Linked DNA regions of Cricetulus griseus. The protein of the gene in region 2 interacts with the protein of the main gene of each other region in a pairwise test. Links are inferred from orthologs where the notes say so. Each region holds a gene or a part of one and is shown on either strand. Other genes may lie near its edges.

What was found.
Region 1: the proteins of Junb (region 2) and Batf2 interact in binary tests that used the Homo sapiens proteins (3 or more experiments, as listed by UniProt). The link is inferred for Cricetulus griseus from reciprocal best matches to the Homo sapiens genes JUNB and BATF2.

What each region holds. Positions count from the first base shown.
Region 1 is NC_048596.1:53,179,972-53,184,264, forward strand, and holds the start of Batf2 (basic leucine zipper transcriptional factor ATF-like 2), read right to left. Parts: upstream 2,891-4,293; 5' UTR 2,753-2,890; coding exon 2,714-2,752; intron 493-2,713; coding exon 388-492; intron 1-387.
Region 2 is NC_048596.1:159,386,194-159,389,920, reverse strand, and holds Junb (transcription factor jun-B), read right to left. Parts: upstream 2,386-3,727; 5' UTR 2,087-2,385; coding exon 1,049-2,086; 3' UTR 549-1,048; downstream 1-548. UniProt on the Homo sapiens protein: Transcription factor involved in regulating gene activity following the primary growth factor response. Binds to the DNA sequence 5'-TGA[GC]TCA-3'.

The DNA of each region.
Region 1 (4,293 bases), about 110 Mb from region 2:
GTTCATAACCATCTGTAACTCTAGTCCCAGGGGATCTGCTCCCTTCTTCTGCCCTCCAGAACATGGCACACATGTTCTGCACAGACATATATACAGACAAAATACCCATTCCCATACATATAAAATAAAACAAACTTTCAGTTAGGTAGTGGTGACACACACCTTTAATCCCAACACTTGGGAGCCAGAGGCAGGCAGATCTCTGTGAATTTGAGGCCAGCCTGGTCTGCAGAGCAAGTTTCAGGGCTACACAGAGAAACCCTGTCTCAAACAAAACAAAAACAACAACCACCACAAACAAATAAGATAAACTTTTTTTAAAAAGAGAGCTCTTTTCTCTGTAAGTCACTCAGTCTTTTGAACCAAAAGAGGGCATCCCTACCCTACCTGGTGCAGGGCATCTGCCTTGTTGGTGTGCTTCTGCCGGCTGCGCTGGGCAGCCAGTCGGTTCTTCTGCTTCTTCTTCAGCTGCTTCTGACATTCCTCAGGGTCCTATGAGGCATGAAGCAGAGGGTTGTGGGGTCCTGGCAGTGGTTTGCCCCCTCTGACATGATCAGCCATTTGGAAAGCTGTCTTTCTCAAGTCCAGTCCTTACAATCCCTGTTCTCCCAAAATGTTTCCTCCCTTGGTACCACAGCCCCCCTGAAGACACTGTACTCCTTACTGTAAATCCAACCCAATCCAGTGTCCAACTCACAGCTTTATATAAATTGGGAGGCTGAGATTCAAACTCAGAACATAGCTAGCAACCTCAAACACACATGCTCAAAAGCCAGCAATTGACTTTTCTGAGTACAATAATCTCAACAGTAAAACAGAGGCCCATGGTGCTTCCCCAACCGTCCACAGAGAGTGAACACACCAGAGGGTTGATCTTCCTAGCCCAGAGCTCCACAAAAATGGGGTCAGAACCTGATACAGTTCCATGTCCTCATGCCCACCTCAGTCCTAAAGTGCTGGTATTAACATACTCAAAGAACATTTATTTTTTAGTGTGTGTGGACCTGGTGTACATGTGTATAGAGCCCAGAAAGACAAAATAGCCCAGGCTGGCCTGGAACTCACTATGTGGCGCAGAGGCTGGCCTTGAGCCTTCTAAACCTCCTGCCTCCAAGTACAAAGTGCTAGGATTACAGGCATGTGCTAACACTTATAGAATATGCCTGTTTTCATATATATATATATATATATATATATATATATATATATATATATATATTATGCTCAGAAGCAATCAATCTTATTTTAATTTTTAAAATCATGTGTATATGTGTGTGTGGTGACATATATGTGCCTGTGATTATAGGCACCTTGGAGGCCAGAAGAGGCTGTTAAATCCCCCGAAGCTGGAGTTACAGATGGTTTGTTTGTGAGCTGTCCCATGTAGGTTCCGGGAACCAACAAACTCAGGTCCTCTCTAAGAGTAGTAGTAGGTGCTCCCTAACTGATGAGCCATCTCTCCAGCACCCATCTTATCTTTTGAGGCAGAGTCTCTCACTGACCTGGGGCTCACCACTAATGCTAGACTGCCTGGTCATCACACAGAGATCTGCCTGTGTCTCCTTCCCCAGTGCTTGACACCCCACCAGACTTTTTAATGGATCAAACACTGGTCTTCAGACTTACAAGGAAAGTGCTTCATTGACTAAGCCATCCCCACATCATTTCAACTGATATTTTTTAAGTACCTACTATGTACCAGGCACTAAGCTAGGAGGACACAGAAGTGGGAGGAAAACAACAACAACAACAACAAAAACCAGGCAAAATGGCCAAACATGGTAGTGCCTACCTATAATCCCAACAGAAGGATTAGGTCAAGGCCAGGCTTGGCTACATAGTGAGGCCAGAATGAGATCTTTTCTGAAACAAACAATAAAGTAGGAATGTAACTTAGTGGGGAGTATTTGCTTAGCTTAAAAGGGGCTGGAGAGATGGCTCAGTGGCTAAGAGCATTCTTCCAGAGGACCACGGTTCAGTTCCCAGTACCCATATGGTAGCTCACAACTGTCTGTAACTCCAAGATCTGACACTCTCACACAGACATACATCAAGCAAAACCCAGTGCACATAAACTAAAAATAAATAATGTTCACACTGAAAAGGGGTGGCTGCCTAGAACCAATGAATGGAGAGTCTGTCTGACAGAAAAGGGGACTTTCAGCTGATAGTGCTGAAACTTCCAACCATAGGAACCATGAAAATTAAAGGGAACCTGAGGCCAAATACCCAGAGCTGGACCCTGCCTCTGTCACCCTACCTCAGGTAAGACCCCAGCCACCCTGGCTGAGGACTCTTCAGGTTTGTGGATTCCCAGTGGCTGTATCTCCCTCAGGGCAAATTCAACCCCAGAGTACTAAGGCTGGGGAAAGAGTCAGAGAGAAAAGAAGAAAGCTGCATTTTGAGAGACTGCGGAGAGAAGGCAAGGATCTGGAAAATGCAGCAGCAAGGTGAGAGCAGCTGGAACAGGAGAGAGCAGGTCTGCAGGATCCATGTTCAAAGCTGGAGGCTGGTCTGCAGTGTGAGAGCTGGGTAGGCTTCATTCCCATCCCCAGAAGGAACTAAACCCAGAGATGGCAGTGTGGAGCCCAGTCCCAGGTCACACAGACATGGTGTGGAGCTGGGACTGGAGCTCCTTACTGCATCCTCCCTCGTCTGGGCCCTGGGACCCTTGGCCAATTTCTCCGCTTCCTTCCTAGTCCCCTGTACTCACTGTCCCAGTCAGCAGCGCACCACTCCCACAGAGCTGCATGGCTTAGGCAGGGGGAGCAGAGGTTCAATCCGGTCCTGTGTGTCCCCTCAGCAGCTTTGCCCTCCCAGTGCCCTCTGGAGGCTCAAGGAAGTGGTGGCTCTTTAAATCCCCAGTGACCACTCCCGCCCCCAGCACACCCAGTTTCAGTTTCTCCTAAAGCCATCGGCTGCCCAGAATCCTTGGCTCTTGCTTGCTCACGTGGCTGGAACTTCCTTACATGAGCTGCCTTCCGGAGGCCCCTTCTCTGGAAGAAGGCTGGTGGAGGGCAAACAGGAGGAACAACAAGACAGTATTCTGGGAGAGCTGCCAGGCTGCCAGGGATAGAACCTGGAGGAGAAGGGTGTGTGTGTGTGTGTGTGTGTGTGTGTGTGTGTGTGTGTGTGTAAGAGGCCCTGTAATCACTTGGGGAGCCCAGGTTCACAGTCCACACTGGAGTATGCAGCTTTGAGAAGGTGACTCATCTTCTCTTCTCTGAACTTTAGTTTCTTCATCTATAAAGGACATGGTAGGATGGAACAAATTCCCAGACTTGGGGCTGGGTGTGGTTGGTTTGGTGCTTGTACTACAGAAGCAGAGGCAGGAGGATCACCCAGGAGTTTGAGGCTAACCTGCGGACATAGTAAAAGTTCCCAAGCTTGACAAAAGAACCTAGACAATGTAACCACTCCAAACTCTCTGTGACCAATGCAGCAGGCATGACTGCAAAAATAAACAGTCAGGGCTGGCATGGTGGTTCACACCTTCAAATTCCAGTGCTCAGAAGTGGGGCCAGGAGGGTGTCTCTGAGTTAGAGGCTCCAAGGCCTAGGGCAGTCAGTGCTAAACAATTAAGACCCTGTCTCGATAATGATGATGATGGCCAGGTAGTTGAGTCATACGCCTTTAATCCTAGGACTTGGGAGGCAGAGGCAGGCAAATCTCTGGGTTTCGGACCAGCCTGATCTACAGAGTGAGTTCCAAGACATCCAGGATACACAGAGAAACTGTCTCAGAAAAAAAAAAAAAAAAGATGATGAAGAAATTTTAAATTTTATGTTTATGTGTATGAATGTTTTGTCTTTGTGTATGTCTGTTCACAATATGTGTGCCCAGTGAACTCAGAGGTCATAAGAGGGCATTGGTTCCCCTGGATCTGGAGTTTCAGATAGTTGTGAGCAGCCAAGTAGGTGTTGGGAATTGGGTCTGGGTCCTCTGGAAAAACAGCCAGTGCTTTTAACAACTGAGCCATCTCTAGGCCCCAAAATAAAAAATTTAAAAGAATCCAACTAGCCTGGTCTACAAGAGCTAGTTCCAAGACAGCCACAGAAAAACCCTGTCTCGAACCCCCCCAGCCCCACCCAAAAAAGAATCCTTATGTCCAAGTTTTGTTTTGTTTTGTTTTTAAGGTGCTACTGGTAGATGCCTATAATACCAGCATTTGGGAAATGGAGATAAAAGAATAAGAAGTTCAAGCCCATTTATAGCTACACGAAGAATTGGAGGCTAGCCTGGGCTATAAGAGGCAGTGTCTCTTAATAAATAACAATAAAAGAGCACTGCAAT
Region 2 (3,727 bases):
GGTCCCATGGAGGGGGCGTGGGCGCGGCGGGTCTCCGGCGCCAGCCTGTTGAGAGACGCTCGGGTGGCTCCCAGGGCCCAGGAGAGCGTAAGTCTCCCGCCGCGGGCACCCTGGACCCAGGCCTGGGGCTTTCCGCGCCCCGAGAGCCGCCCGCCCGGGAAAATCCCGGCCCCTTCCCGGCGCCGCGGCCCTGCCGGGCAGAGCTGGGGGAGGGGATTCCCGGAATCTGCCCGGAGACCGTGCTGGCGTCACTGAGCAGAATAGGCCCATATATGGGCATCGCTTCCGGCGCGTCAGCGGGGAAAGCCCCGACGCGCTGGGCTGGGCGGGGCTGCTTACACATTCCGCGTTTGGTCCCGGGCGGCTTCTTCCCGGCTGTGGCCCGCCTGCCCCGCGTCGGGTGCCGGGGCGCGGCGTGAGAGGTCTGCGTGCTTGCACTGGACCTTAAGTCACCTGAAAGGAGGGAGCTACGAAAGCGGACGACTGGGGGCATCCCGTTCTTCTCCCTCCACCCGCCCGGCTTGGAAGAAAAAAAAAGACCACAGAAATTAATAAAGACAATTTTTTTTACTTAAATAGATTCAATAAAAAGTCAAACACACACACACACACAAACACATCTTAAAATAGACTCTAGACACGAAGTGCGTGTTTCTTCTCCACAGTCCTGTGCAGAGGGGGAGGGCAGGGGGCGGAGGTCCCTCCCTAGTGTCCCGGCAGGCTGAGTACCAGGCGGCGGGGCCAGCTCCGCCGCGATAGCGTAGCCCCCTTCTCCCTCCCTGTTAAATACACAAATATATTATATTCAATATGAATCCGGTCTCTTCCCAGAAAAAAAAAAAAAACATACAAAATACGCTGGAAGGGGGGGCCATGTAAACGTCGAGGTGGAAGGACTGGGCGCAGGCGAGCGAGCCAGAGTCCAGTGTGTGCGCGGCGCTCCAGACCTCCGGGCCGGTGCCCATCGCCCGCCCCCCTCACCCCAGGGGGGGGCGGGCGTCCAGCCTTCCCGGCCGGGGTGTCCGTGCGGGGCGAGCGAGGGAGGCGCTCAGAAGGCGTGTCCTTTGACCCCCAGCAGCAGCTGGCAGCCGTTGCTGACGTGGGTCATGACCTTCTGCTTGAGCTGGGCCACTTGCTCCCGGAGAAGGCCGGCAGTACTCGACAGCCCCGCATTCTCAGCCTTGAGCGTCTTCACCTTGTCCTCCAGGCGCGCGATGCGCTCCAGCTTCCGCTTCCGGCATTTGGTGGCCGCCAGCCTGTTCCGCAGCCGCTTTCGCTCCACTTTGATGCGCTCCTGGTCTTCCATGTTGATAGGGGACACCGGCGGGGTGGCGTCGCGGCTGCGTGCCTCTGGTACGGTCTGCGGTTCCTCCTTAAAGGCGGAGGCGCCGCGACCCAAGCCCAGCTGTGCCGGGTGGCCGCCCGCAAAGGGTGGTGCGTGTGGGAGGTAGCTGATGGTGGCCGTCGGGTACGAGCTCCCAGTCCCGACGGCGGCCCCGGCGCCCCCAGAGGGTGCGGAGGCTGGGGAGTAACTGCTGAGGTTGGTATAGACGGGGGGCGGCTCTGGACCTGCGTAGACGCCCCCTGGCCCGGCCTGGGGACCCCCGCTGGCGCCCAGGGACACGTTGGGGGGCGTCACGTGGTTCATCTTGTGCAGGTCGTCCAGGGCTTTGACAAAGCCGTCCGCGAAGCCCTCCTGCTCCTCGGTGACGCCGCCCCCTGTGCCTCCACTGCTGCCACCCCCACGGGGGTAAAAGTACTGTCCCGGAGGCGTGGGCGTCGTCGTGATCACGCCGTTGCTGTTGGGGACGATCAAACGCTCCAGTTCCGTGGAGGCGAGCTTCAGAGACGCGCCTGTGTCTGATCCCTGACCCGAAAAGTAGCTGCCTGCTGCCCCGCTGCCCTCTGGGCCCGGGCCGCGCGCTCCCGGGCCCTTGAGACCCCGGTAGGGATCCGTCAGGTTGAGTGCCAAGGTGGGTTTCAGGAGTTTGTAGTCGTGGAGAGACAGGCTGCCAGGGGTCCGACCGTATCCCGCCGCTGCGTATGAGTCGTCGTGATAGAAAGGCTGTTCCATTTTCGTGCACATCCGGGCGGTCTGGGAAAGGTCCCCCTGAAGGGCCGCCCCAGGCCTCGCTGCTGCGAGCGGCGAGCTGTCCTCGGCTGCGGCGGGACCCGGTGTCCGGTCGCGCGTCCTCGGGAACTGGAGACCGCCGGCGGCGGCCGGTTGGCAGCTGTGCGTAAAAGCGTTGCCGGGCTTCCAGACCTCGTCTCTGCCTCTGTGGTGCGCCCGCTTTCTCGGCGTCGCTTCCTTCAGTTCCCCGCTGCCTGCAGGATCCAAAACCGGCCCGGCCACCCTCAAGGTCCCCACCGCGCTGCCCCAGCCCCAAGCTTTTATACCGAGTTTGTCAGCTGCGGAAGTGCGCTCTGATTGGCCAACGCGGGAACCGGGCCCCCGCGGCCCCCTCCTAGAGCGTGGGGAAGGGGAGGAGGCGGCTCGCGTCACTGTCAGGAAGCGCGTGTCCTTGTAAACAGCGGCCACGAGCCGGGTGGCTCTGCGCGGCTGCAGGGGGAGGGGCTGCAGCGATGGAGACGCCGAAGCAAAGGGATGTGGAGGGGCTGAGGCACACGGGTTAGGACTGCGGGAGTACACCTCGGTGACTATGAGAGCTTGGCACAGCAAGCAGGGAAGGGGGCGCCGCGGGATAAGCCGGAGAAGTCTCGAGAGACCCAGAGTGCCTGTAGCTGAGAACTGACAATATGCTAGAAGACCCCAAGCAAGCAGGAAAGGGAGGATCGGGAGGGATCTGTTAACATTTGACCCGGGGATTGACTGGAGGTCCCAGATACAAAGGGCTTGAAAGACTGGAATTGTCACAGGTTGGAGGAAGGGGCGCCTGTTGTGCAAGAACAGTAGGGTTCTAGAGGCCGTTGATGAGTCTGAGGGTTCTCCTATAGGCGGAAATGAGAAGGAAATGCGGGGAGGGCGACGTAGATATGCAAAGGTGAGAAAGGGTCCTGGGTGCACTGAGGTAATACAAGAGGTGGAGGATGGGAACATGTCACTGTGGCCACCTGAAGAATTCGGATGTAGAGTTAGAAAGGTCAGGGCACAGCTTCCGAGCTTTGAGATCTGCTGGGGAGGATGATCCCAGAGACAAGGGACCTGTACGAATGGGGCTGTACCTCGTGGGTGGTCCTTAGGCACCTGCATACCCTGTACTCCAAGCCCAAAGTCCTCCCTTAGTCACTCTGGGCTCACCCGATACCCTGTCAGCTCTTGGAGAGCCGACGGGGCAGGATAGCTGGGGCGCGGTCGCCCAACCTCACTCCCTTCCTTAGAAACAGACTAGGGAAAGAGAGCCGAGGCAGGAAGTGTGGCAACAGCCCCGAGGGGAAAAGAGCCCGGCCCTGTCTCGTCATTCTGAGCCTACAGGACGGTGCACCCTGCCCTGGGCCCTGCCAAATTCTGCTCCTGGGAAGAGGAACCGGGGCAAGCGACCCCCGAGGAAGTCACAGCCCAGCTACAAACGCCTCGAGTCACTCTCTGCTCTCACCCATCTAGTAATGGTTCAGCCTGCAGCCTCCGACGACTACTAAGCCTGGCAGCCCGAGGACTGTTCCATTGACCCTGGGGGGGGGAGATGCAGCCTGAGAACCGGGCCTCATCACCAAGGCAACAGGCCGGAGTCCGCGAATTGGATTCGGGGCGGGGCAACCCCCCTCAATT